Linked DNA regions of Rhinolophus ferrumequinum. The protein of the gene in region 4 interacts with the protein of the main gene of each other region in a biochemical or structural test. Links are inferred from orthologs where the notes say so. Each region holds a gene or a part of one and is shown on either strand. Other genes may lie near its edges.

Region 1 (7,310 bases), on a different chromosome or scaffold from region 4:
TCCACTGGTGCCAAAGCCCCCTTCAGCAAAGGCACCACAGACCCCACATCTCTCCTTCCCTTTTCCCACCTTTATGCAGCCTTCTCCTCTCTCGACTGGGCCCCAGAGTGAGGACAGGCGCAGCCAAGTGTTGGCATTCTCTGGTCATCAGGCTGCCATTCGGGCAGTGATGAGGCCTGGGAAAAGAGAAGTAGATGTTTCCACGATGGGAGGCAGAGGGAGTAAGAAGGAAGAGGGCCCCAAAGGATGGGTGATGGGATTCCTTGCCCTCCTGACCTCTGCCCCAAGCTACACAGATAAGGGGAACTCCTCCGGCCCACGTTACACAGATTCTCCTCATACAGAACGACCCGCACCCCTTTGTTCCTGTGGGTATACTGGGAGCAGGGACTGAAGGCCACAGGAGGGAAGGAGGGGAGAGCAATCTGGAACATCTGGGGGGCTTCCAACCCCAAAGAGAAGGCAAAATCAGGCCGCACACGTGCCCTAGCCAACAGGCTACACCTGCCTCCCAGAATGACGGTCATCTCCCCATACTCCAGAACGGGTCTGATGTCAGGCCTTCACCCCCCTTCTACCAGTCAGGCCCAACCTGAGTGCCCAGGTCATCCCCACCTGTGTCTGAGAACAGGAGCCAGAGTCAGGGACCCAGTGGTGCCAAGAAAGTGATTCCTAACATCTTAGAGCAGGTACCTGATCCCATATCCTGTCCTAGATCAAAATCTCCTCCTCTACAGTCATTCTACAAGCATTTCCCGGGGGCCTCCTGTGAGACGGGCAGTTAGCCATGACTAGTGGGAGACCCAAGAAGCAGCAAACCAAGATCCCTGGGTCCCAGGAGGTTACACTGGGGAATCAATCAAGATCAATGGCAAAGTCTAAGTGGGCCCGGAGGAGGAGAAAGTGATGCTCTCCAAATGGGGTGGCGGCATCAGGCCAGACATCAGTACCTACCTCCTGCTCCCTCTTCCTCACTGTGCTCCAGCCATATGGGCTTTTCTTTCCCCACTCAGGGCCCTTGCACTGGCTGTTCCCTCTGCTAGGAAATCACTGCCCTGGATGTCTGTATAGCTATCTCCTCCTCATCAATCAGGTTTCCATTCTCATTTCCTTGGAGCGCCTCTACCCTACCCCACCACATTAACCTGTTTTTGTTATCCCCATAGGACTACTGCTGCTCATTTGTTCACCTGTCTCTCTCGATCGATGTAGTCTTCAGTCTCTAAAACAGCTTGACGCTAGTAGGTACTTAATAAGTATTCGTGGAATGATGGAAAAGGAGGAGGACTCATGCATGCCTGCATTAGAACTGAGCTGGGAGCTTGGAAGGATATTGCAGCTAAGGAGCTGTCCCTTGCATTTGGGGACAGATTAAAAGTCTGAGGGCTCTTCCCTATGCTGAGTCAAAACCCTGACCCCCAAGAGCCCCCAGCCCTAAGTCCCAGCTCTGCATGGGCCCACCCAAAACCCTTTTCTTTCCTAAAATAACTGTGTCTTTTCTTAACTAAACTCCCCCTTGCAACAGGACATGACTGACAGACCCTATGCAGCCCTGGTGGCCTCCTAGGCAAAAGATCTGCATTGGCCAAAGTCTCCAACCAGAAATGGGCATTTTAATATAACAAAGGATAACAACAGGAAATACATGTTGAACGCCATGGGCTAGATACATCATTAAGCACTTTACATGCATTTTCTTATTTCAGCCTCACAACACTATGAGGAAGGGACTGTTATTATTATTATTATTATTATTATTATTATTATCATTATTATTATTATGAACACTTCACCAATGAGGAAATTAAGGCACAGAAATGTTAAGCACCTTGCCCAAGGTCACACAGCTAGAAGTGGCAAAGCTGGGATTAGAACCCAGGGAGCCCAACCAGGGAGCCCAGGGCCACGCATTCTGCTTTCCCCCTTGGACCTGATTAGTGGATAGAGGTCTCAGATTGCACAGAGCAGTTTGACAGCCAACACCAGAGAACAAGTGGGACGCTCCCAGGCCTGGGTTGCTGGGCCTCTGAACCAGGCTCTAGGCCTGAACTCCTGAGCTAATTTTCTTAACTCCAGCACAGGCCTCAACATTTATAATCAGTCACATTCATCTTGTTAGTCTTGGTCCATCCTTCTGCCCAGTTGCCATCATTTGGAATCTTGATTTTTATCCTACTGTACACTTGTCACTCCTTTCAGCTCTAGGTCACTACAAAGATTCAGCTGGCTTCCCTTTTAAGTCTTCCTTCATCCTTTGGGCAGAACTGTTGTGAACCCACCGACCTATGCCCAGCCTTCGTTTTCCCAGCATGCCCTTAAATAGTAGCCCCAAACCCAAACTGATACTTCACTGTAAAGGACTGTAAATGCCACCTCCTCAGCATTTCTAATTTCAGGTCGGCTCCTGACTCCATGAGACCCTTCTCGGCCTCGGTTTCTCAACTCAGTCCCATGAAAGGACTGCACCGGGCAATCCTGATGCCTCGCGGCTCGGCGTCCTGGCAGCCACGCTCCCCAACTCCTGGAACCCGTTCCCCGCAGCCGGCAGGGAAATGGAAGGAATTTCTCCGGCCTAGACACCTCCAACGCCCCTCGCGGGCCAAACCCCACCCTTGGCGGGCTGGTTAGAGAAAGCATTGGCCGCCGTTCTTGGGGGCTGACTCCGAGGTAGCAGGTTCCGCTGGGAATCCAGTCCCTTCCCCCACGCTGTCCGGCTTCGAAGCAGGACTCCCGGCGTGGCCCCGGCCCATCCCAGTGCAACCGCAAGATCCTCTTGTTCCCGGACCTCTGCGGGACCACCTCTCCCCGCCCCCCCCGACCCGCTCACCTGGCCGGGCGAACGTGGCTCGCCTCTCCACCCCCGCCTTCCCAGCTAGCGCACCAGCCGGCGGGGGAGCCGCTCCGCACCTCAGAGGCGACCATGCCTGGAGGCCTGGGGTCGCGGGCGCCGCGCGGGACCCCCACCAGTTCCGCTGCAGCCGCCTCACGCTCCCGCAGCCGAGCCGCCGCGCCGCCGCGCCCCTCGCCCGGGGGAAGCCCCCCACCTAGCAGTTCCGGCTGCGGCCGCGCCCCCCGCCCCCGCGGCCCGCGGGCGCCCGCGCCTCTGTCCCAGCTCGGGGCGCGCCTCCCCCGGCAGGCGGGCGGGCAGGGACCGTGACGTGCACCCATTGACGTCTCCGGAATCCCGGCGGCGGCGGCCGACGCAGCCTCATCAATGGGGCTAAAAATAGCGGCGCCCGGAATAACTGTGAGCGCCACGCCCTGCGCCCCCCCCACACCCCCAACACACGCGCAGAGCGCCTGGTTACATAATCCGCCCCGCTGCGGCTGGGCTGGGGTGCTGTTTTTCAGGTGAGGGTTCTGTGGCCTTGCTAACACCTTCCGAGACAGCAAACCTGGAGCTGTTATAAATTTACCCGGGGCTTCCCCTGAAAAAGAGGTGGAAAATGTGAGGCCCAGAGAGGCTCTGCAGCAGCCCAAAGTCACACAGCAATTAGGCTGAGAGAACAGGCCTCTGAGCCCTGGGCACCCCCCACAGCATCTCTTGGCCTGCATGCCACCCCGAGGGCAAGGAACCCAACTAGTACGGTGCCCACGGAGTGGTTAGACCCCAGGACCCAGGAAAATCAGCCAGCAGGTCTCAGAGAAGAGGACTTCTTGGGGGAGTGAAATTTCTCCTGAAGAGAAGCACTCCCAGAGGTGGGAGTGCAGAAGGGGACAAGGCCTGGGTGTTGGATTCACAGATCTGGGTGTTCCTATACTACTGTCTGACCTAGGGCAAGTCACTTCACCACTCTGAGCCTCAGTTTCCATACCTATAAAATGGGGATGATAATATGACCCATCTTTTCTGGTTTTCGGGAGAATGGAACAGCTGTGGAGGTGCCTTGTACACAGTAGACACTCACACTTTCTCCTCCCTGGTCTCCTCTTGGAGTCTGACTTCCCCAATCCGACAGCGCGCGTAGTGCAAGAAATACCCAAAGGCTCACCCCAGTGGCCAGGAAGCCCTGAGTGGCTCATCCTCTTTTGAACATAGTCTCCAAGCACAGGCTTCCCCAGTAAGAACCTTCTGGGGATGGCAGTGCTCGGAAGGTTTCTCTCTGCCACCTAATTGGAACACTCTTTGGAAATGGGAGAACCATCTTGTTCTGAGCAAATCCTTTTTCCCCAGCAACCACCCATTTAGCAGTGGATAGTTCAGGAAGGCCTGGCCAAGGCTGGAGCAGTGGGGCTGGGTGGGGTTGGGGTTACCATGTCTGCCCCTATACTGCTAGGCAGGCAGGGCCAGTGGGGAACACCCATTCGGCAGGACCCAGTCCTGTGCTCTGTTACACCAGCCACCAGCGCCTGCTCCCTGTGGGAGCCACCTTACATTAAGAGTATGCCAGTTAATCCAGCAGGCCCCACGCAGCACAGAATCTCTGCATTCAAAACTCTCAAAATGAGGCCTCACCACCCAACTCAGCGCTCATTCCAGGGACCAAATTCCTGTCCCCACCCCCAGAAATCCTTTTTTTTGGATCCATCCTAAACTCTTGGGGCAACTCAGAAGCCCCTTTCTCTCGTTCTTCATAATAATCCCAAGAATCTCTGGTTTGTCTCAAAGTCACCTCTCAGGACCCTCATTTTTCTCTTCCAGATTCAAGGACGGGGCCAAAATAGAGATAAAGAAATTGAGGCTTCAAAAATGGCACTGGGGCGGAGCCATGGACTGGCTTTTTCCTCCCCTGTCACCATCCTCTCCTTCCTGTCCCAAGAGTTTCTTCCAAATGGGCTTTTTAAAGAAGCCACTACCCCCACTTTTTCTTTTTCCAGAAATCTAACTTTTGAAATACATTTTAAAAATATTTGCCTGTGTAGGAGAAATACATTTATTTGGATAGGAAGGATTTTTTTAAAAGGCTCAGTTACCAGTTTTTCCACAAAGGCTTCCAGCCCACAGAGGTCTCTCTCTTCTATAAATACTTTAGCACAACTTGGCTTCATTTTATACTCTCATGTTTTATAATCAAATAAAATATTTCTTAAAATATGTAATGCTAAAACACACCTGTGTGACTCATGACGGCGGTGTGAGGTGGTAGAAGGATCACAGGCCCAAGAGGCCTGGGATTGACCCTGGTTCCACTGTTACCAACTGTGTGACTTCAGGGAAGTTACTCACCTTCTCTGTGCTTCTGTTTTTTCATTTGAAACACAGGAGGATAACATACCATCTCACAGGGTTGTCATGAAGAGTGAATCTTTGATGGTAGAGATAAAGAATGCAGCAAGGAGTCTGGCACATACTAGCAGACCTACCATTTCCATACAGGAGGACTTGGGAGATGGCTGAGCTGGGGAACTTGTCTGGAAGCTACACATGCAAAGCACTCACCTGGCTTTGCCCAGCTGGTGTCATTATTTGGGGGCTTGAGGAGCTGCACAGATGATGGGGGCAATGTCATGTCTTAGTGTTATTACAGCTGTATGGTAAATTTTAACTCCCTTGTTGTCTTCTCGACCCAAGTCACTCAGCTAGTCAGTGGTCCAGCCAGAATCACAGCCCAGGACTTCTGACACCCAGACCAGTGGTCTAGTTTTTACCCACGATCTTGTTCCTTCACACTTTAGCCCCTCCTCTTTCTACACAAATTCCAGGAATTACCACACAGCCCCTAGTGCAGATGGGAAAACTGAGGAGAGAAAAGGTCAACTACTTGCATGGCTCAGGAGCTAGGACTAGAGGGGAAAACAGACATCCTGGCCAGGGCTGTCTCACATTCTGGAAAATTCCTAAGAGAGGACAAGTTCTTGCCACAGAAAGCTGGTTCCTAATCTGATGGCAGGCAGGACACAAGAACAGTCATGAAAACATTGCTAGAAGATCCAAGAGGCAGCCTCCAAGAGGCCTCGAGCTGACATTGGGGTGGAATCTGGATAGTTAATCTCAGAGGCTCCCTGGAAGAAGAGAACACAGGGCATAATATGAAGGTACAGACAGGACCAGGAAAGGCAGAGAGAAGGGAGAGCATCACATGGAGGAGAAAGGCTGACCTCAAAGCTCATAGGGATGAGATGGGGGCAGGGTTGAGATCCAGCTTGTGGTTAAGCCCCAGGACAATCAGCCAGACCCTTAGTGTTCTTCCTCATGCCCCTCCATGTCACAAAAACAGAAACCCTTGATCTAACTTCATGCAGTTAGGGAGACATCATTCCACCTCACCTCCACCCTGAACCAGTGGGAGCATGGTCAAAGGATGTCAACGGGGTTCCCCAGCCCATTTGAGCTCTGAAGGGGCTCCCCTACTTATGCCCTGCCCTGAATGAGGAGAGGGGCAATGGAAGGGATTCCCTTTGAGGTTCCCTTCCCCATCTTGAGGATTAAGAAATACCTGGCTGGGGTCCCCCAACCCCTCCCCAGACTTAGGAGCAATTAAAGGGCACAGAAAATGGGGGACAAGGCCTTCCTGGGGCTTTCCCAGGAATTGGGGCCTTCCAGGGACTCCACCTGGATGGGGTTACATGCTCTGAATTACACGAGGATGAGAAGGCACAGCTGGGGGCTTTTTCTTTTTGAAGTGCCTCCACATTTGCTCTTCCCTGGTTGTCGTGGAAGGCCTTCAGGGCCAGAACGAAAAAGTGGTCAAAGTCACCAGATTGGAAGTGACAGAGCTGCAATTAATGCCAAGATTACCCTAAATCCAAGCCAGGCTCTTTAATAACAGAAATCCTCTGTAACTTTTTTTTTTTAACTACAAAGTCAAACAAGCTCGTTGTAAACAAACGCAAAACGTTACAGAACCGCGTGATTTACGAACTGAGAGGCCGGTAATCCACTCCCAGAGGAGCCGAATTTGGTAATTCTCTGGTGTCTGCTTCCAGATTTCTCTCCTTGCCGCCAGAGATCCGATCTGGCGCGGTGGGCCCTCCCCAAGGGGCCGGGACCGGAACGCTGGGCCGGAAGGAACAGGGCCGGGCACCGCTGGAGGGACATGGCCTCGGTAGTGGCCCACGCCGCCCTCCCGGGGGTGGCCACGCTGGCCCGCACCAGGCCGGGCTGGGCCGGCTGGGGCCTGGGGAAGCCGCTACGTCAAGAGGCTGACCGAAGGGAGCCCGCGCGGGGTCCAGCCAGGTTTCCATTACGTCACCCGGAGGTGCAGAGCGGCGGCGGGGCAAACACCGCTGCAAACCATTGGCCGCCCTTCCAACCAATAGCACGAGAGTATGCAAATCAGCCATGTCGGCGTTGCTTCCTTTGGGTCTGGTGTACGCAAATAAACGACTCTGCAAGGATGGGGGCGCCCTGGGATGCGGAAAAAGAGGGA
Region 2 (7,513 bases), about 2.3 Mb from region 4:
GAATATGTCAAACACAGCAGAACAGATGTCAATTACCACAGAGTCCGTGTCAGTGAGACTTTGGCAGCCTCAGGTGATGTCATCCTTTTTTATCTCATTTAAGGTTGGTTGGGGAACTGAAGTCAAATTCTAAAATCTTCAGTGTTGTTTTCCAATAGGACTTATTTTTTAAATGGCCATAACACATAGCTCAAATTATGCCCTCATTTATAGGCAAATCTAAAGGTATTCTTTTCCTCACTTAAAAAACCTCTAAAAATTTCTCATAAAAGACTTATAAAACCATATTCTAAAATTAACCCCACATTCTCTAAAATAATTTAGAAGTTTAAATTTTACTCTAAACCAAATTCTTCCTCCAAACCCAACCTCTATCAATCCACTGCCTTCACGGAGACAACTGAAGCAGAAAATAAGTAATATTTACTTCACACATTTACTACTTTTTTAGGATGGAGATACTGTAATCAACTGGATATTAATTTAAGAAAAATATTGCTTATCATCTAATTTCCAAGTAAATTTTTTAAGCAAGTGAAATTAACACCAAATCTATACTGACCATAATTTCAATTTTGTGGATATTTCAATGAGCGACTCAGGGTCTTTTGGTCCACTTCAAGATCATGACCACGAACATTAAAAGTTATTATGATGGGCCAGCCCGGTGGCTCAGGTGGTGGGAGCGCCGCGCTCCTAATGCCTAGATCGCCAGTTGGATTCCCACATGGGCCAGTGAGCTGCGCCCTCTACAGCTAATATTGTGAATAACGGCTCTCCCTAGAGCTGGGCTGCTTTTGTGCCCCCGGTGGCCAGCATGAGCAGCATGAAAGGCTGGCAGCCAGCAAGAGCCCCCTTGAGCTGCCAACCTACGGGGACTGACTGCCTCAGCCTGGGGGAGCACGAGGCTCATGATACCAGCATGGGCCAGGGAACTGTGTCCTATACAACCAGACTGAGAAACAACCGCTTGAAGGCGGGTGGGGGAGGCGGAAGGGGAAAAAAAAGTCATTATGACTACAAATTGAAATCTGGTTTTATTTTGTAAACACACCCTGCAAAGACCCTATTTAGGCTCAAAATGAAAAGCTGTAAATTTATAATAAAGTGTATTTTAAAATTCTCTCGTTACAAGAGCAGGGTGAAATTTTCATAATCTCTAACAAGAGACCTAATGAATATCATAAGGTGCCATTCTTTATAGGATACAAGTCAAACATTTTGAGAGGTATTTACAGTCATGTTCTTTGCAGTAAGTGGGATATATTAACCTACCATCCTTAAAAAAAATTTACGCTGCATACAATTTTGGAAGCCCTGAATTATAAGAGGAAAAATTACCCCTCGCACTCACCCCCCCCAAAAAAGGCAGAAAATAGCCCCTATTTGTTTCCTTAATCTTTTTGTTAGTTACACATGTATAAATGTACTTTAAAAATTGTAACTATGTGTGGTCACGGATGTTAACTTACTGTGGTAATTATTTCACAATACACACACATATCAAATCATTATGTTGTACCCCTAAAATTAATACAATGCTATATGTCACTTGTATCTCAACTTTTACATATAGTACTATCTAATTAAGTTTAAGAGGGACCTTTCTACTCTTCCTTGTTCTTGGGAACTAAGTAAATTGGCTGGGTAAAGGTTACGCACAAGTTTAGACCTTTCCAAAACATGGTCAGGACTATTGGACATCACAAAAGATTTTAGAAAAATTTTTCCCTCCCAAGCAAGAGCCAGAGAGAGCAGTCTGGTGCCAACTTAGCCATGGCCAAATTGCCAATGCACCACTTCCTTTGCAAGTCCCAAGAGCTCTATAAAATGAAACTAAGTTAAAAAGGGGGCCTATTACTAGCTGATGTAATAGCAGTATGGCCCACACGGATTTTTGAGGCCAAAGCTTTGCTGCCTTTTTTCCTACTGCCCCTTAACAGATGACTGCCTTGTTTGATAAGATTTATAAAAAGGGCGCGGGGGGTGGAGGGGTGGGGGTGGGGTAGGAGCTGACCTTAAGTTATTTGATGGTGCTACGGTGGGGGCAGGGGAGGAATGGAAGGATCTTAAAAACTGGGGACCAACTCCTGCTCTTTATCCCTACTCCGCAACTAATATCGATTGTTTCAAATGTTATACAATGTACTCTTAACAAAGAAGCAAGACTTTCTGGGCCCCCGAACGCAATGGTCTCTTTGCGGCCTCCACCACTCTTCAGCCGGTTGTGGAAGAGCTGTTATCAAGCGTCCTCACTGCTTTTGTTTGGGGGTGAAGCGAGTGCTAAGGCTCGGAGCAGGGCCTTCGACGGCCCACGACGCCCCAGGACTCGGAAGGGTGAGGCCCTGCCTTAGGAAGTGCTGGGAGGCCAGGCGGCTCCCGGAGCTTCTCCCTTCCCCACCTGCTGGGATAATGACTTTTCCTCGTAGCCGACGCTCGCACTTGCACTTTCCCCCCACCGGTGGCCCTGCGGCAGGGCAAGTAGGGACACAAGGCGCGCGTAGAGGAGATTTTTTGCATCCGCTAAAATGCAGCTGCATCCCAATCCCAGACCGGGCTCCCTCCCTCGCCGTCTCCACAGTCCTAGGTAAAACCCCTGAAGAACTTCCAGGAGGCGCCCTTACAACACGTGCAAGGACGCAGACCCCGCCGGACCTTGAGGCCCAGAGCAGACTGACTGACCCCACCCAAACTGAGATCTCGACCCCGGCCCCGGCCCCCACCCCGGCCAGGATCGCCGCGGACCCCATCTGGTCCCTACCTGCCGGGGCCCGCGTGGGGCTCGGCTGCGCGTTCTTACGCGCCTTCTTTCCAGGCATCTCCGCGAGCAGCCGGCGGGAAGTCTGTTGCAGACCTCCGGGGAACTCAGTCCCCCAACCTTGGGTTGCACCCTGGGGTCTACAGGACGCGAGCTGCGCGCCAGGCGGGCGGGCTGGACCTGATGGGAGCCGGCTGGAGACGGCACTCAGTGGGTAGCCGAGAACCTCGGGTTCTGGGGAGAAGCAAGAGCCCACGCTCACGTTTTACAGGGACTTCCCGATGACGTAGCGAAACTAGACGCCAGGCCCGCCCCTTTCCCCGCCCCAGCGAGCGGCAGTGGCCCGGGGTGCGCGCGCCTGGCCTAGGGGGGTGTGGGAACCCCGCGCCACCTCGCGCGACCTCGCGAACACGTTCCCGACCCGCGGCGGCGCCGACCCCCGGCGGGAGGTGCAGGGCGCTCGGCGGGCGAGACCTTGCCCAGTCCCGAAATCACTTCTGTCACAGACGGGGTGAGGGAGGAGGGGGTGGGGCCGAGGGACCTGAGGTGGAGTCCGCTGCAGTGGTGGCGGGGTCCAGGAGTCCGGCGTGGAGGAAGGTGTTCCTAGCAGGCAAGCCGGGGCTGGAGAGGCCGGGAACTTCGTCCTTATCATAAATGGGCAATTATAGACTTCTGTAAACAAAGCCCCCAAAAAGTTTGGAAAGGCAAGTTTTTTACACTCGGAGAACGTGGGGAGTTTCAGGAAAGTGCAATGAAGAGAAGTTTAATAACAGAAGGCATGATGCCAGAGGCCATGGGAGTAAATAAAGTACCAGATTGACACTTGGGAAGTTAGCTACAAATTGAAACACTGTTTTGATTTGGAAGGAAGGGTGTGTGTGTGTGTGTGTGTGTGTGTGTGTGTATTTGTAGACAGGGGGCTTCCTCTCTGGAGAGGTCGATGTTGCTCATTCCGGATGCTAAGTAACCTAAAAAAAAAAGTGCTTTATCCTACAGAAAACTTTCAAATGCTTTTGTGGAGGGAGGAATGAGCTACCTGGGAATACGAAGTTAATTTGCACAATGTGTGGCTGGCCCTTGACTAATTCCATTATTATGAAAAGAAGTAATTCGGGTTGGTTAACAGGTATTGAGGGCCGCTGCACGCTCAGGCTTTTAAGCGGGCATTTTCTCCTGTCCTCAAAACAACGCCAAGAAACGGGCGTTTTTACCATAGCGGTGTTGCGCAATTTACAGGTGCAAAACTGAGGTTTACCGAGGTGAAGTGAATTATTCAAGCTCACGGAGGCAGAGAGCAGTGCCAGGATCTGAACCCAGGCAGGCCCACAGGGAGCCAGAGCTGTTGTCCACTGCAGCCTTCCGGCGATCAGTTTCTGAGAAAATGTATGCTGCTTGTTAGCCCCGCTATTTCATGCAGAGGTTGCAAATTGGCTGCTTAGAGTTGCGTGGCTTCCTAGTAGAAATGTTTGGCTCACAGGATTGGTCTGCAAAATGTCTTGTGAACATTTGCATTGGTTACCAACATTTAAAATTGAGAGACTGAATTAAAACCCTGGATTTCTGGCGTCCTTTGGAAACTCAGACAAACCTGCGATCCGTTTTCCAAACGTGCTTCTTCCCTTAGGGAGCTGGAGCCCCTGTCAGCCACACTCCCTGCTGTTTGTTTTCTCATTTACATTATCTGGCCCCAGTAGGCAGTTGAGCTTGTTTATTTACCTGAAATCATTCAATCAACACAAATCTTCGACTATTTATTTTGGCTTGGTCCAGCAGAAGCATAGACAACACTGGAAGCCTGGAACAAAACTGCGATTTGAGTTTAAACAACTTCGTTTTGAGTGTGGTAAACACTTTGGGATTAAGAGAATTCGGGAGTTTTCTACCAGTGGCAAAGAAAGCCCTGCGGAGCTGCTGGAGAGCCCAAAACCACTGCGGCTCTCCTCGAGGCTTATTCTGATAAACCTCACTCTTAAGGAACATCATTAACTTTCTGATAGGATAAATTAGTAAACTTCTGAGACAATCATGGACGCTGAAAGGCAATGACAACATTCAACAAAAGAAAAACAAATTATGTCATTGTTTACCTACAAAGGGCGTGTTGATCCGGTCCTGTCATCTTAGCATTATAAAAGCTTGTTGGTCACGTGGTCCACACAAACCTAGGCAAGCTGTGTCTTTTAGAGAATTGCAAATTCGAAAGAAAAGGAAGGAGCAAGTGGGGGGAGGTGGGCTTCAGAGAGGGGTCAAAATCAGCCATTTATGGAGGACTTTTTAAGATGAGTTTGAGACGCCTCACAGTCTTTTTCAGACCCAACATTCTATTAAGGGAAATCGAAGCTGAATGTGAAAAACCTTTCTTAACTATCCACAGAGGGTGCCCAAAAAATGGATACACATTTTAAGAAAGGAAAACTGTACTAAAATTGTAATACTCAATATATACCGATAACCAAAGATGAATACATGTCACATTTGACTTCTGCAATTACAAGAGGTGCTCAAAGTGGTTACCATCAGTGTCCCAACACTTCTGATTATGGCGAACTACTGCTTGAGCAACGCTGACCAAAGTGTCCACTTGTACACATTTTTTGGCACCCCCAGTATGTCTCTGGAAAAGTGATGTATCATTTAATGAGAACTTGCACGAAATATAAATATGGAGATATTTTGACCACTGGTACTGATAAAATAAAATTTTCTCATGAAGCATTAAAATCCCCTATTATGTTTTTGTTGTTGTTGTTGTTGTTTTTAGGACTGGTGAGAGCAACAATTTTTTTAAACTACTACTACTACCAGATATAAGTTTTCATGGACCAAGTTCAACAATGACAATGCAAATCTGGTCATGCTTGTGTTGTCACTTCCCATGTTAAAAAAAAAAATACTGGAAAACAAAACAGCAAACATGATTAATAATAGAATAGTCATTCATATAGCTCATGTGGAAAATAGGATTTAACAGGAAGACAAGAAGATATGAGCGATGAATAAGGGGGAAATTTAAAGGAAGCCAGTGAAGATATATATGTATAGGCTGTAAACCTAAGTCTGTTTATTCCTGTAAAAGGGGACTTGTTTGTTTTTTCCTGTAGAGCATGTTTGTTAACACGAAGTCACCCTGATGCATTAATTGGTTAAATCTTTCTTTAAGACAGACACTGGGTTAGGCTCCGGGGAGAAAGTGCTTTCTAGCCCCCATGGAACCTGTGTTGAAAAGAGCAATACCTTACAAAAGCATGGTGCGAAAGACTGCCTTGTTAAAGTTCACTTCTGATTCTGGAGATCTAGCTGGTCTTAACATACTGCTTCTTAAACATACTGGTGATGCTGAAGCTTCTGGTCTATGGACAAGGCTAGAGGCTGATACAGGTAACCACACAGGCAGGTACAACAAGATGTGCCTAGAGCTGGGCCAGAGAAATGATGGCAGACCATGGGAGGTCAATTAAGCAAGAAAGGGCGTCTACATAGACACCTGAGGCATAAATAGGAGTTGGCCAAGCAATGAGGCTGAAGGGAAGAAGTGTGTTCCCTGCGGAGAGTGAAGAGCAGTGGGAAATGGTGAGAAGTAAATGGGGAGAGAAGCTGCCTGAGGAATTTGGGTATTATTGTGGAAGCAGTGAGGGCGGGGGGAACCACTGAAGGTTTTAAGGAGGTGGGCGATATGATCAGATTCTGGAGAGCTCACTCTGGCTGCAGTGTGACTAGATTAGTTGAGCTGAGACTGGAGACAGTGTGACTAGTGAAGATCCTGCTGGAATTCTCATACCTGATGGTAGTGTCAGCAAACTCACTGTTTTAACCGGTCTTATTAAAATTCCCATATTTCCTGACTGGGAGAGGACCCCCTTCTATTAGAGCAAGACTTGATATTTTTCAGCATAAATATAATTGACATCTTCACCTATATTAGTTTTCTGGAGCTGCCATCACAAAGCACCACAAACTGGGTGTTTTAAAACAATGGAAAGTTATTCTTGCACCGTTCTGGAGGCTGGGAGGCTGAAATCAAGGTGTCAGCCTTGAGGTGTCAGCCTCAAGGTGTCATGCTCTCTCTGAGGGCTCCAGGGGAAGAATCCTCCTTTGCCAATTCCAATTTGTGGCAGTTCCTGCAACACTTGACTTCCAGATGTATCCCTCCAATGTCTGTCCTGGTCTTTACATGACCTTCCCCTCTTTGTGTCTGTGTTCAAATTTACCTCTTCTTATAAGGACATCAGTCATTGCATTAGGGCCCCCACCAATCCCATAGGACCTCATTTTGACTTGATTACATCTGCAAAGACCCTACTTCCAAATAAGGTCACATTCATAGGTTGGCAGGTGGGGGATAGTGGGGAATTAGGACTTCAACATATTTTTGGGGGGACTCATCTCAATCTATAACGTCTCCCTTTACCAATTGCCTTTTTTAAAAAGTTCTATGTACTCGTATAAACCTTTCCTCCTATTTGTAATTTGTACTTTTTTTTTCTTTTTTTTTTAAGGAGCGGGCAGCTCACAGTGGCCCATGCGGGGATCGAAACAACAACCTTGGTGTTATTAGCACCATGCTCTAACCAACTGAAATAACTGGCTATCCCTGTAATTTGCACATTTTAGAAACCAAAATTCCCTTAGTAAACTTGACAATGGATTTAAGCAGCCTGAAATAAAGCTCAAAAGCAGTATAGATAATGTAAGAAATAAGATGACTCCTGAGGGAACAGGTTTAGAAGATATGTATACCCTGCACATTCGAAGTCG
Region 3 (7,098 bases), on a different chromosome or scaffold from region 4:
GTCTCATGGGGGGACTCCGGGCAAATCACATCTCCTCTCAAGGCTTTAGTTTCCTTGTCTAGAACCCTGAATTCTGACCTCAGAATGTGACTGGCTCTGAATATAAATGGACAAAGCCAGCCTCCTGCTCAGACATGGAGCAGGGCAGCTCCTACTATCAATAGAGAAAAGCTTCCCAGTATAGCCGAGGAGGCTGTCTGACCGTGGGCAAGTGCCCTTACCTCTCTGAGCCTGTTTCCCCATCTGTAAAACAGGAGTACAGTACAAATTACGTCACGGGGTTGTTGTGAGGATAAGGTAAGATGGTGCACAGGCCTGGCACAGAACTAGTGGGCAGTCAATGTTACCTGGTGTTATTTTTAGAAGTAGTTAACATTTTTATTAGCAATGGAAGTGACATTAATAACTCCTGGTTTATCAGAATCAGTATTATTTGATACTATTGCTTTAGTATCAGTACAAATGGTAGTAGCAATGATGATGTTTTACTCCTTATTCACAGAGAACTAGTATTATTCAGCATATTGCGTATCAGTACTAGTAGCAATATATTTGTATAGTTTCCAGAGTTGCTGTGAGGTAGATTCATAGTGGCAACACCTGTGTGTGTTCTCCTAGGTACTTTCCTGTAGAAAACTAGTTTCTCTACTAGTTTCTTTCTCTGAGCAATTAGAATGCTAATGAATACTATGAACCAGACAGAGGAATGGATAAATTGGGATGTCCCCCAGACTTATGCGATCTCAGGACACATTTTCCAGGGGACGGGTACCTGTCAGACAAATGCCAAGAAAACAAACAATGGAGGTTGGGAGCTGCCAGCGCCTGGTGTGCTGGCTGTGTAGCCCTGGACGAGTGACTCAGCCTCCCTGAGCTGCTGTGTATGTGATAATGAAAGAGGTTCATACACATGAAATGTCTCGAGCACTTGCCTGTGGCTGGTGATCACCGTGGTTACTACATGTTTTACTTCCAACCTACTTCACGTCAGAGATGGGGAAATGAGGCTCAGGGGAGAATGCCTGGGCCAAGGTCACTCCTGAACTGGAGAAGCGGGTCCTGTGGGTCAACCCGAGCCACCCCTGCTCCTTACCCAGGATGTCCAGCCACTCGTCCGGAGCCGGGACAGGCTCAGGCTCGGGCTCCATGGCAGCCAGGAACTCTCGTGCCAGGGCCCCCGGCTGCTCGGTCTCCTCCAGTGAGGGCTGCCCCACATCCTCCAGTGGCGGCAGCTCACTCAGGTCCTCTTCCTCTTCCTCCTCTTCTTCCTCCTCACCCTCTGCATCTTCTACCCCATCCAGCACTTCGAAGTCCTCAAGTGGTGGTACCCCAGCAGGCGGCCGGGCAGCGGGCTCAGGGCCCGAAGCAGAGGGCTCAGCACAGGACGCCATGCTGTTGGGGGGACGGGAACTGGCCCTGGGAGGGGGAATGCATGGGATTTGTGAAAATCCCACTCGGCCCCTCAAATCCTCCTATGTATCCGCTCTCTGCACTGTGGATCATTTGCTATGTGATTCAGGGGCTCCAGGCCTGTTTCCTCATCTGTACAAAGGGTTGAGCAACAACCCTGGTTTGTCCAGAGGATTTAAAGACCCAAGGATCAAGCCCAGGGCATCAGGCTCGAACAGCACTAACTATTATTAGAGCTAATATTTAATCTTCATAAACACTACAGGGAGTAGGAAACATCCCCCCCATATTTTGCAGAAAAGGAAATCGAGGCCCAGAGGGGCAAAGCCATTTGCCCAAGGTCACAGAGCAAGCCAACTCAGAGGCAGGATTTGAACCCAGGGCTTTATCTGATTAAATTCCCAGAGGAGGTGCTGAGTTTTAGGGGACAGTCCCTGACGTACTCGAGAGGCTATTTTTAGAGTTTAAGGGAATTAAATTTTACCAGGGCTCCCCACCTCCACCTGCCCCTTCCCCTAAGGAGAGTCCCATGCTAACTTCCCACCACCCAGAAATCCCAAGCCTTTTCCTTCCAAAACGCTGAACCTAAACCATCACCCCCCACCCCACCCCACACACACACACACACACACCCGCGGCCCCACCCCCTCACCACACCAGAAATCCTGGCCCAAACCCTTCTCTGGGAGCCCTTTATCCTCTCCTCGGTCTTCCTGACGACCCTCCCAAAGTAGGCTTCTTTACAGGAATGATGGATATTCCCACCGCATTCTACAGCCTCTTCCTTGGGCCACCAAAGACTGCCCCCCTTCCCCAGACCCCAAGCTTGGGAAAGCGGCGGGTGGAGGAGGAGGTAGGCAGAGCCGTCATTCTAACGCACAGCATCCCCTATTCCCTCCCTAACCCTCACTTGCCTGCTCCTTCCGGGCTCGGGCCCCTTTTTCTGAGACCCACCTAGCCCCCACCCCCATAATCCCCTGCGCCCGCACAAATAGCCCTCCCCCCTCCCCCAACCACCGCCCCCAGCCTAGGCCAGCTGCCCCCACAGCCGCTCAGTCGCCGGGTAAACACCCCGATGACGGACGACCCCCTCCCGATCTCGTAACACCCTACGCCCTCCAAACGCCCCCGGCCTGGGCCTGGCCCTCCGTCAATCCCCCAACCCAGGCCCCCAAAGTCCCACGCCTGTTTGACGCCACCAGTCTAGGGCCCCTACCCCCCGCACCCCTCGAGCGCCCCCGGCCCTGCACGTCTCTACCAGCGACAACCCCCTAGCTCCCTTCGGCTCCCCCCAAAACCCCCCCCCCGCCGTCTCCGCCGGGCCGCGCCCCCTCGGGCACTCCGACCCCCAGCGGCCCCCCGCTCGCCTCCCCCGCGGCCCTTCGCCCCGCCCATCGGTCGCAGCCCGGCCGCGCCGGCCCCCGGACCGTCCTAGGCCCGAGCAGCGCCCCCGGCCGGCGCAGCCCAGTCGACGCCCCTGGACACGTGCCTCCGGCTCCGGGACCCCCGCCTGGGGTCCTGCGCCCCCCTCCCCGCCCCCAGACGCAGCCGTCGCGCCTCGGGAACTAGGCTCGGGCTCCAGGCCCCGCCCCCACCATGTCGATTGGCCGCCGCCGCCGAGACTGCAGCGCTCATTGGTCTACGCATACATCCGTCTCCAGCGCAGGCACCGCCCCCTTCCTGCTTGTATCCGCGGGGTGTTCTTAAAGGGGTAGAGGCTGCTGCTCTACCGGAGCGGGGGCGGGGGCGGGGGCGGGGTGGAGGTGTCCCTGGATCAGTCTGTTTACGAGTCAGCGCCTCACCGCTGGTGCGACTCACCGCTCCCGTGTAAGCTTTTTCCTGCCCATCTGCGAAATGGGGATGAACACCCCAATCAACGCACTCTCCCCTTGGGGGCTGTTGGGAGGACAGTACTAAATGGTATTTCTTTAAGGAGATCAGGCCTGACGGTCAGGGCGGCTCTGGAGCTGCTGGATAATCTACCTTGAAGCCCTAGCTAGTTATGGATGAGGACCTGAGGCGCCTAAGGGCACACGGTACCCCTTCTCCCCTGTGTGGTCTGTCTAATCTCCGGGAACTTGCCTGACGCATACAGGAGGAGCTCAATAATGGCTAGGTGAGCTACTGAGCGAGCAGGGCCGCTGGGGGTAGTTACTCCTCCCTGTACCTTGTGCCAGAGAGTGATAAAGTGCCCATGGTCCCTGGAGAAGGTGGCTGCCTCGATTAGATGGGTTATTATGGATCTTGTTTTGAAAGGAGGGGCAATTATTCTTCCCTGGCTCTATTTTTTTTCCAGCAGTTACCACCATCCAGAATAATCTTGTTTGTTCTTTTGCTTCTTCTCCTTTCTTCCCAACTCTGCTCCTACCTAAAAGGAATTTTGCTTGATTTGTTCCCCACACACACACCTCCTTGAATGATGCCTAGCACCTATGGGAGTTCAGTAAATGAACTAATAATTGAATAAATGAATGAAACTGGCTTTGGAGGTAGCTAACACTGGAGGAGGTAACTAGTTTTTGGAGGGAACTAACTTGTTAGATCAGTGCTCGGAGGTCATCTCCTACAGGAAGACCTCCCAGACCTCCCCAAGGCAAGGCCAGGTGCCCCAATTGGCTGTTCCTAGACCCATGAACCTCCACTTCATAACTCACTGACTTTTATCCGTGCCATTACTTGCCTTACCTCTGCCCACTAGTCTAGGAGACCCTCAAAGTCTGTAACGGGTCCGTTGTTTCTCACTGTTTCAGTCCTGAGGCCTGCACAGTGCAGAGCACAAAAGGTGGAGGGTGGGAGGACTTGGGGAAATCATTGTGGAAGGAAGGAAGCAGGCTCATCAGCCAAAACAAATGGGAAAGCAGTGAGGATATATGAGGAATTGCCTAGGAAGAATATCAAACCCTGGGTCAATCCCAGTTCTGAGGGACTTGGACTATTACCTGTTCATCTCTGATCTTCAATGTCTTTATCTGCACCCATTCAGCCTTACCTCTTTCATGGGCTAGAGGAATTGTAATAAAAGATACTATACATAAACAACTAAAATAAATATAAACTAATAACATCAACAATTATAACAATAATATCGTGTTTCCCCGAAAATAAGACCTAGCCGGACCATCAGTTCTAATGCGTCTTTTGGAGCAAAAATTAATATAAGCTCCGGTCTTATATAATATTACGTAAGACCCAGTATTACATTATAGTATAGTATAGTATTATATATTATATATCTTATATTACATAAGACTGGGTCTTATAGTAAAATAAGACCGAATCTTACACTAAATTTTGCTCCAAAAGACGCATTAGAGCTGATTGTCCAGCTAGGTCTTTTCAGGGAAACACGGTGACAGCTGAGACTCCGGTGTCACAGGTGTAGGCAAAAACTGTGTATTTAATCCTCCCATCAGCCTTATGAGACAAATACTCTGATATTTGGAATCCACATCATTGGCTACGTACAGAGTTGCAATCGTTACATCTTCCTGGTGAACAGAACTTGTGATTGTTGTGACATGCCCCTCTTTATCTCCATGCTTCTGGCTTTTGAGTGGACTTTGATATTAAGATTGCACACCTATTCTCTTGGTTTATCTTTTAAAGTTTCCATTCTTTTCCACCCCTTATCTTCCACCTTTCGGTACCCTTATGTTGTATATGTGCCTCTTGTAAGCAGAATAGAATCAGGTTTTGTTTTTTGATCCATCCTGCCCATCTTTATCTTTTAATTGGGGCATTTGGTCTCCACATTTAATGTAATTACACACATATTTGGACTTAAATCTGCCCTCTCGTGTTTTTTCTCTGTAATACCTTCTCTATGCTCCTTTTCTCTCTCTTGCCTTCTTTAGAATTCGATGTATGTATTTTGGTAAGACTCTTATTATCCTTATTCTGCAGATGGGGAAATTGAGGCACAGAGAAGTTAATTAACTTGTTCAAGGTCACAGTGATGAAGGGCACAGTGGGCCTGGTATCTTACCCCATTGAGCTTCTATTCCAGCCAGGGAGCTGGATACTGCATAAACAATAATGCAGATAAGTATCTAACTGCAGCTATGATGAATGCTATGTAAGAAATAAAATTGGAAAAAGTGGCAGAGAAAGGTTTCCAGTGCCCAGACTTAGGCCTCCCCCACCACCAATGTCCCCATCACTGGGGCAACTGAGCAGTCACATCATTTCCCACCCTCTCCCTCAAACACACAAAGGAGGAAAATATTTTTCTTGTCTCTACTCCACTGTGCACAAAACATTTGGGGCCAGCCAAGTCCCTTTTGGCCTCAATGTGCAGCCCCCACCTCTTCCGGGACCCTCGTAAATGTTTCCTGGCCTCTAACAGAGCCCAAGGGACCCATTGAAAAGCTTGATTTCTTCAGCCTGGGCCTCTTCTGCTGCAGCCTGCAGACAGAGTCATGGTTCCACTTTCCCCAGCAGCCCCCACCAGTGCTCCCCTCTCAGCACTGGCTGCTACCTGGCTCACTGAGCTCTACAGTTCTTAAAAAGATCAAGTCCAGACTAAATGTTTTCCCACCACCCTGTCTTTGCTCCTGTGATTCCCTCAGCCTTGAATGAAAGTCAGCACCTAGAAAACTCCTAATCCTACCTCAAAACCCCATCCAGACATACTTTCTTCTTTGCCCTTAAAAGGAGTTCTCATACCCCCACTCTTAAGGTTCCTCCAGCTTTGAGTCTCTCCTCCCTCTAACCCAGCAGTGTTCCACTCAGGGTTGGGAGTGTCTGAGTCAGACTCTGTCTCCCTCCATCCTTCAGGGCTAGGCAGGGACTGAGTACTCTCTGGATTCCCAGAATATGGGCCAAATCCAGAGGGGGTGGCTAGAGGGTTACTGACAAGTTTTTTAGACTTTTGAACTAAGTGTTTAAGAGTCCTGGTCTGTATTAACTTTTCAGTGAATTAAGGCAGCAAAACATGCGGGTAATAATACAGTTTACCAAGGGCTTACAGTGGGCCAAGACGTGTAAAGAACTCACCTGCCTGATTTCATAAGGTTAAGCCACTTGCCCAAAGCCATCCAGCTAAGATGTGACAGAACTGGAATTAGAACTCAGATATATCCAATTCCAGAGCTCTTAAAGAGTCTTTCATGTGCCCCAGAGCATGGTATGTGTTTATCTCCCAAGCTTTCAAGAACCTTAAAAGGCAACTGTGGTGATCACCCAGGCTCACAGTTAACAAACTGAGACCCAGAAAAATTAGACGTATAACATACACACATTATAAGACCTCCATAACTAATGATAATGAATTGCTAATATTTATTAAGCAATTACTATTTTGTAATTGCCCCGTTTTGTTTATGGTTTTCAGTATATAGCCAAGGTGACAGATGTAGGAGTAAATATAGATGTGTGTATGCATAGGTTAGTAGACATACTATGTATTTGCTAACTCTGACAGCTGAGAGCGTGGTTAAGCAATGAGCACACCCAGCACCCAGACCTTGGTTTTTAAATACCATTCTCCAAGAACAGGAACCAGTGTCCTTGGAGAAACTGCTGATTCCAAGGATATGCCAAAGCAAACATGGAAAATCTTGTGCCAAAAGTAAGAAAGTACTTACTTTCTTACTTTCTTAGAGAAAGATGGAAGACATATTAAAGAACGTAGGTGATTCACTTAAAGGGGCAGCAAGATAAATAACAGAATAAAATTCTCATGAGTTC
Region 4 (7,250 bases):
ATACTAAAATTCCAGTAAACTGTAAAATCGTACACCAGTTACAGAAGTGGAACACAAAGCACACAGCCGATGCAAATTCTGTTCGTGGTGAGACAACGTCCAGTGCAAGATACTCGGTGATGCCCACTGGAATGTGGCACACACTCCGGCTGGAGTCCCCAGACTTCTGGAAAGTCAACTTACCTCTTTACAAACACAGCTATGCTTTCCAGGGAAAGGGGCTACACTGGTTTTCTGCTTTGGGTAGATTTTTACCAGGTGGGTGTCAGAAAAGGCACGCCCGAGGTTTTCTGGTGCAGTGTGTTCTTGTAATTGGGTGGTTCCCAAATTTTAATACAAAGAAGAAACCCCCAGGGGAGTTTGTTTAGGATGCTGATTGCCAGGACCCAACCTGGGGTCTGGTTCATGAGTAGTCCCTGAAATCCCCGAATTCAATAACCGACTCCAGCCAGGTAAACTGTGATGCTGGGGACCCTTGGACCCCCAGTTTGAGAAACCCTGAAGGGATAACCATTTATCCCAAGATTTCACTGTACAGCAAATGCTGGATCTTGGAACCTCAACAGCTGACAAGCAAGGAAAACACTTTGGGCAGGAAGGAATGATCACAGTGTGGTTGGCAGGGAGAGCTCTTTGCAGGGGGAGAGGTGGGAAGCACCACACCTGATTTACGTCACTGGCTCATCAGCCTGCCCTTGGCCCAGGAACACACGCGCACACTGCAACCACCGCATCCCTGACCAGAGACGCGAAGCCCAGACTCACATCCAACCAGACATGCACCTACCCAGCCTCCGTTATCCTGGATCCAGGTGTGCAGGTGCCGGTTCAGGTACTCGGTCATCCACAGGGCGATGTTGTCCACCAGGGGCGACATCTCCCGGTTGACGCTCTCCACACACATGACCCCACCGAACTCAAAGAAGGCCACAATCCTCCCCCAGTTCACCCCGTCCCTGAAAAGCTCCTCCACCACCGTAGCAAAGCGTCCCCTCGCGGTGAAGGGCGTCAGATGCAGCTGGCTGGACATCTCGGCGAAGTCGCGGCGGTAGCGACGGGAGAAGTCATCGCCGGCCTGGCGCAGGGTCAGGTGGACCACAGGTGGCACGGGGCTGAGCGCAGGCCCTGCGGCGGCAGCGGGGGCAGCCAGCGGCGGCGGCGGCGAGGTCCTGGCGGGCGCCGGGGTGCGCTCGGGCTGGGAGGAGAAGATGCCCGGCGCGGGGGTTGCCCCCGAGGACGCGGCGCCCGCGTCTCCGGCATCCCACTCGTAGCCCCTCTGCGACAGCTTATAGTGGATGTACTTCATCACTATCTCCCGGTTATCATACCCTGTTCTCCCAGCGTGCGCCATCCTTCCCTCGAGGAAAAGCAGCCGGGTACCAACAGCACCTCTCGCCGCCTCTCCCGCCCCACGGCCCCGAAGGAAAGAAGAATAGTTATAATCCAGCTATTTTATTGGATGTGCTTTGCATTCTTGGATGAGGGGGTGTCGTCAGTCACGCGGAACACTTGATTCTGGTGTTTCCCTCTTGGCATGAGACGCAGGAAATTTTTATTTAAATTCCTTTCGGATCTTTATTTCATGAGGCACATTATTATTACTTATTGTCAATATCAATCTACTTCCTTCGTGATCCTGAAAGGTTAAAAAAAAAACAAAACTGATAAGTCCAGATCAGGTGCATTTTCCTGTATACACTGGGTGAAAGCAGAGCATACACACTACAAGTTACACGGCTAAAAAGAATGTATTAAACTGGCCGGAAATTAAACTTACTCGAATGCACTTAAAGACAAAATCGCAAATGTTTCTATTGAAAGTTACATTAAACCAATTTCCTGTGCAAAGAACTTACTTGTATTTTTTAAGGACAACATGATCTTCTGTCAAGTATCCTTTTTTGTGAAAACAAAACAAATGCATAAGGCAAAGAGTCCATCGATCTTCAGAACTCTCCGGTTATAGCTGCTTTAAAACTTCCAAATGAATCAGGAGTTGGAGGGGGCTGCGGAGGAGGGTGGTAAAAATTAGGAGAATTTCCAGATTGATTCCCAGACTTCTTCACAGAAATGTCAATCCGCAGGAATCCCAACCGGAGATCTCCAGCACGAGAAAAAAAAAAAAAAGAAAAAAAAAGGCAGCGGCGGCGGCAGCAGATGAATTACAATTTTCAGTCCAGTATTTGCAGTCTTGTGATTTCCCCCCTCTCGGCAATTTACACGCGCGCACACACGCGCGGGCACAGACATGGACCCCTATCCGCGGGACCGCTCCACGCCTCCCCGGGAGAGACACGGGGACTGGGGGCCCGGTGGACGCGCCGGGCACGGGGGCAGGAATCCTCTTCTGATTAAACTCCGAACGGCAAATGCATTTTTCCGAAAAGCTGCTTGATAAATGAAGGCAGGACGCGCCTGGCCCGCCGGTGCCGAGCGCGAGGAGCCCGCGCTGTGTGTGGTGCGGCGAGGGGTGGGGAGAAGGAGGTGGTGGGGGAGGGTTTTATTTTTTCCCTCTTTTCCTAAAAAGGATGACTGCTACGAAGTTCTCCCCCCTGGACCCCCTCTTCCGCTGCACCCCACCGGCGCACCCCGCCTCCGGGCTGCGCACCCTTTCTCCTCCTCCTGCTCCTGCGCGGCGGCGCTGGCGGCGGCCGTCTCCGGCGCTCCCGCCGCGCACCCGCTCCCGGCGATGACGGCCGTGCCGGTGGGGAGGGCCCGGCGCCCGGCACCTTCGCTGGCAGCGGCGACGGTTCCAAGGGGAAACCGAGAGCGGCGGGAGGGCGGGCAGGAGGGCGGCGGGCGGGGGAGGGGGCGGGGAGGAAGGGGGCGGGCGGGGGGGCCTGGCCTCTTACTTCATTCTCCGTTCGAATCGACTGGTTTCCTGTACGTACGTCACACTGTTCATTCAAAAAAAAGAAGAAAGAAAGAGCCCTCCTCTGAGCGGCCCCACCGCCCCTCCGCCCCGCTCTCCTTCCCGGGTTAAAGGAGCCGCTGCCGGGCCGGGAGCGGCGCGCCGGGAAGGGAACACATGGCGCGCAGGGCCGCGGCCGGGGAGGGCGCGCCTAGCACGGCCCCCGCCCTCCCGGGCCGCTCCGCCCGCCTGGCCGGTGGGTGGCGCGGGTGGCGCAGGCCTCCCGCGCGGCCGCGGCGCGGTGGGTGTGCGCGGGGCCTCCTCGGGCCTGCGGCGGGCTGGGCGCGCGCTCGGGGGCCGGCGAGGGGCCGGGGGTGCCCGGGAAATGGGACGCGCCCGGGTTGGCGGCGGGTGGGTGCGCAGGGAGGGCGCCGGGAAAAAAAAACAAAAAAAAAAAACTGCGATCCTTTCTAGCCGTGTGTGTGTACATCGTGTTACCAGCGCTTGGCCGCCGCCTGAGAGACGACCGAGGCCGATGCTGACCCGAGCACAGGGACCTCAGCGCTGCCCTCCCGTAAAGAGAGGCGACGCTGCACATTCATTAGCCAGGGAAGCCCCAAGCGTCTTGTTTACTTTAAAGTTGCCTCCTAGGTGTCCACGCGGAACACATTCTGGGACACCATCCGTGACCAAGGCCAGAGAGAGCTCTCAGCGGGCCGGTGGAGGGGCGAGTGGGGGATATCAAGGGCTTTGAAATGGTTCTGTCAATGTTTTTTCTCTGCTCCTGGTACAGAGTTAGGACTGTCCGCTGCGGAGGTCCACGGGGCGACTTTAGGCCCACAGTCCCAACACCAGGGTGGGTGGGTCTCTAAAGGCCTCCACAGTCGCCTAGCAGCCAATCCTAGATGGCCACACCTTCTCAGTTGTACACACACACACACACATACACACAATTTCACACACATGTACACACAAGAACACATTTTTTAATTCATCAGCATTGGTAGCCCCAGGAGAAAAGCACAAGAGCACAATCAAATTGCACGTTAACTATTTTTATCCCTCAGAGTCTTTGACATATAAAGCCCCGAGAAAAAATGTTTACTACAAGCACAGCAGCTTGCTTAATAGGGCTCAAGTACAAATATATAGGGACACTGGATAATTGTGGTCTTAGAAATATGACAAATGAGCACTGCACTATATACAGATATACTGTCTGACACTATTTTGCCTCATTCCTAGTCTAAAATCAAAGCATTTATTCCTAAGCAAAAAAAGCACAGCAAATTATTCCCCTTTCTTCATCTTTCATACCCAATCAGCCCCCATGCCAACCTCTTGCATGTAGGAATGGGTGTGTGGTCTAAACTTTGCATTTAGGCAAGAGGGAGTAAAGGAAGACGCTCCATTCTGTCTTCTGTTGGCTGTGACAGAGTCCCCCTTTACCAACGGCAGTGGCGGAGAGGTGTTCTGGCCTGCAGATAGACACTGGGTATAGATTGACCTGAGATACATATTCCCACAGAAATAGTAGAAACCCGCCTAATGCCACAGCATTCTGGTTTAAGGATCTTCTCAGAACCGTGTCTTAAACCCCCAAAATGATTTAAGAGGAATTGAAAGCCTTAGTGCTTCTGAGACCCAGCATTTGAGTGAGGAAATGAAAGGACAGAGCTGGAAAAGAGACTGTACTTCTGCAAAGGGGACAGCCGGAACGAAACATACCGCCATTCCCAGGGAAAGAAAAGCTTCCTTGTTTCTCCCTCTCCTTTGCTCCCTAGAGCCACACTTTACAAATGTCCCCAGACTGATTCCTTATGTGGCATCTTGAGCATAACCATTCTTAGGATAGGTCTGCATTACAGTCCTTAGCTAGGGTTTATATTCCCTGGGAAGGTTCTGGATACTCTTTCAATGGAAGGAATGAAACCCTTCATTCAGATTCCATGTTTATTAGATTCCACTTTAAAGAGTGAGGTCAAGTGTTTTCCTCAGAAGTGTGTGAATTAACTCTTTGTGTCTGGGCATTGGTGAGGTGGTGACAGAGCACAGGGCTATCAGGAGTCCTGGGTTTGAATCCTAGATCTGTGACGGAGACCTTCCAACAACTGCAAATGTTGCTCTGTGGGCTTTTCATTTCCCAAAATGTCTTCCACTTTTAAGAGCCAATGGACGACCCGTTTGCCAGCTTTGCCTGCCTGGCTGGATTCTAGGAGGGTAGATTCTAGGAGGCCTGTGTTTTCCCTCTTTATTCTCCAGTCTACCAAACAAAAAGCTTTTTATTGCCAGTTTTCGCCACCTACTGGTTAATGTTTAACAGTATCATTCAGAAGGCTCTCTTCATCCATTACCAATATAAATATTTCCAAAGTTTATGAAATTCAAAAAGAACATTATTCTAATCTGGATGTACTAGTGTTTATTATAGGTATGTATTAAATCTTCCCAACTATTAAATTTTTTATTTAAAATGAGGAAAGTCATCATTAACTGAAAGGGAGTGGACACCTAATCGGTAAGATGAAAGAGTTAAAAATATAAAACATGACCCGAACAATTTAGGTACACTGAAGTGGAAATAAATCCATAAACAAAACAAACTGACTGGAGAGAAACAAGTAGTCTATATCGTTTTCATAAAATAAGAAAAATGAACTACTTAAAAAATAACATCTCACACACCTAGATAAAAAATCCAAAACACTGATTTCCAATTTCAAATATCTATCTTCTCAATTAGTTCCAGCTTTATTGAGATATAATTGGCATAAATCTTATACATTATAAACTCTATGCTAAGTAGTACCACACTCTCAGAGGGTTTGTATACTTTGTTGGCAAACATTATATAATAATGTTACTAATTAGTTACTAATATTGATATGAACAGTAACACTGTTTCTGATTCACTTATGCTCTAGAGCCTTTCTTCTGTAAGAGTGATCACAAGGGAGTCATCTGCTGCGCGCCCCGAAACTATCCTTGGCATCATCGGGAAACCCTTGCCAAATCTAAACCAACAAGCTTTGGTTTAACAGAGAAACCCACCTGACTAATTTATGATGGGTCTTAAACCTCAAAAAATATTTAGAATAATTAAGCAACAACCTTTGAAAGTAGGCAATGAAAAGCAGATAAATCATTCCTTGTGCAAGTTTAACAGTGGGCAAATAATGTTTACTTTTGGTTTACAAAGGAAAGTGCCAGCAATTCACTTGTGGCAATTTTTTCCTTTCAAATTAACGACTTGGCTTTTGAAGTGAAATAAGAGTAGGAACTTATATTTTTCAAACGCCTACTGCTGTCGTTGGATCGAAACTGCAGTAATAAAACCAAACAACATGAAACACCATAGTACTAAGGGGGTAATTGACAAAGCATTTACATTCTTAATGTGCAAAAACTAACTTTTATTCTCATAATGCTATTTAGCACACAGCGCAGTATCTCCCAGATGTTAATTCCTGACGAACACATTTAGAAAAATCAAGGTTAATATGTTTGTTTCCTAGGACTGGCATAACAAAATACCACAAACTGGGTGACTTAAAACAGAACTTTATTCTCCCACAGTTCTGGAGGCTTAAAGCCCAAAATCAAGGTGTCAGTGGAGTCATGGGCCCTCTGAAGGCTCCAGAGAAAAAACTTTCCTGGCCTCTTCCGGCTTCTGGTGGTGGCTGTCCATCCTTGTTGTTCCTTGGCTTGCAGCTCCATCACTCTGATCTCCGCGTCTGTTGTCACATGGCCTCCCAGTGTGTCTGTTTTCTATTATAAGGTCACCAGTCATATTGGATTAGGATCCTAATAACCTCATCTTCACTTACTTATTTTAGTAAAGATCCTATTTCTGAATAAGGCCACATTCACAAGAACTGGGGGTTAAGATGTTAACATCTTTTGAGGGCACACAACTGAACCCATAACAGTATGTATCTAATACTGTGTTTCCCCGAAAATAAGACCTAACCAGAAAATAAACCCTAGCATGATTTTTCAGGATGACATCCTCTGAACATAAACCCTAATGCAACTTTTGGAACAAAACTTAATATAAGATCCAGTCTTATTTCAGGGAAACACAGTATGGTATCTCTCGAATAAATGAGGATTGTTTATTCCAGGGCCCAAGGACTCAGCAACCCCTAAATTTCAAGGGGAACCATAATCTTTCGAAAACTGAAATCTGGCCATTTCATGTTTCCATTCAAAGTTCTACACAGGCTAAAATCTCAACTCCTTTTGCACAGCATGATGTGGCCCAAGCCTACCACCTGGGTGCCCTTCCACTTTCCCTTCTCGCATCTTCATTAGCTTTGTGTGCTGTCTGGAATATGCCAAGCTCTCTCATGACTTTTGCCTTTGCATATCTGTTTGTCTCCCTGAAGTGCACCCAACC

Evidence for each region.
Region 1: the proteins of BCL2 (region 4) and NR4A1 form a complex in vitro, tested with the Homo sapiens proteins (2 studies listed by BioGRID). The link is inferred for Rhinolophus ferrumequinum from reciprocal best matches to the Homo sapiens genes BCL2 and NR4A1.
Region 2: the proteins of BCL2 (region 4) and PMAIP1 interact in a biophysical measurement, tested with the Homo sapiens proteins (2 studies listed by BioGRID and IntAct, with this or other methods). The link is inferred for Rhinolophus ferrumequinum from reciprocal best matches to the Homo sapiens genes BCL2 and PMAIP1.
Region 3: the proteins of BCL2 (region 4) and FKBP8 form a complex in vitro, tested with the Homo sapiens proteins (4 studies listed by BioGRID, with this or other methods). The link is inferred for Rhinolophus ferrumequinum from reciprocal best matches to the Homo sapiens genes BCL2 and FKBP8.

Annotation. Positions count from the first base shown.
Region 1 is NC_046293.1:52,243,570-52,250,879, reverse strand, and holds the start of NR4A1 (nuclear receptor subfamily 4 group A member 1), read right to left. Parts: upstream 3,014-7,310; 5' UTR 2,828-3,013; intron 1-2,827. UniProt on the Homo sapiens protein: Orphan nuclear receptor. Binds the NGFI-B response element (NBRE) 5'-AAAGGTCA-3'. Binds 9-cis-retinoic acid outside of its ligand-binding (NR LBD) domain.
Region 2 is NC_046302.1:48,151,044-48,158,556, reverse strand, and holds the start of PMAIP1 (phorbol-12-myristate-13-acetate-induced protein 1), read right to left. Parts: upstream 3,009-7,513; 5' UTR 2,820-3,008; coding exon 2,762-2,819; intron 1-2,761. UniProt on the Homo sapiens protein: Promotes activation of caspases and apoptosis. Promotes mitochondrial membrane changes and efflux of apoptogenic proteins from the mitochondria. Contributes to p53/TP53-dependent apoptosis after radiation exposure. Promotes proteasomal degradation of MCL1.
Region 3 is NC_046301.1:51,275,686-51,282,783, forward strand, and holds the start of FKBP8 (peptidyl-prolyl cis-trans isomerase FKBP8), read right to left. Parts: upstream 3,016-7,098; 5' UTR 2,900-3,015; intron 1,417-2,899; 5' UTR 1,392-1,416; coding exon 1,094-1,391; intron 1-1,093. UniProt on the Homo sapiens protein: Constitutively inactive PPiase, which becomes active when bound to calmodulin and calcium. Seems to act as a chaperone for BCL2, targets it to the mitochondria and modulates its phosphorylation state.
Region 4 is NC_046302.1:50,485,058-50,492,307, forward strand, and holds the start of BCL2 (apoptosis regulator Bcl-2), read right to left. Parts: upstream 3,003-7,250; 5' UTR 2,853-3,002; intron 2,597-2,852; exon of another isoform or gene 2,007-2,596; 5' UTR 1,857-2,006; intron 1,637-1,856; 5' UTR 1,352-1,636; coding exon 788-1,351; intron 1-787. UniProt on the Homo sapiens protein: Suppresses apoptosis in a variety of cell systems including factor-dependent lymphohematopoietic and neural cells. Regulates cell death by controlling the mitochondrial membrane permeability. Appears to function in a feedback loop system with caspases.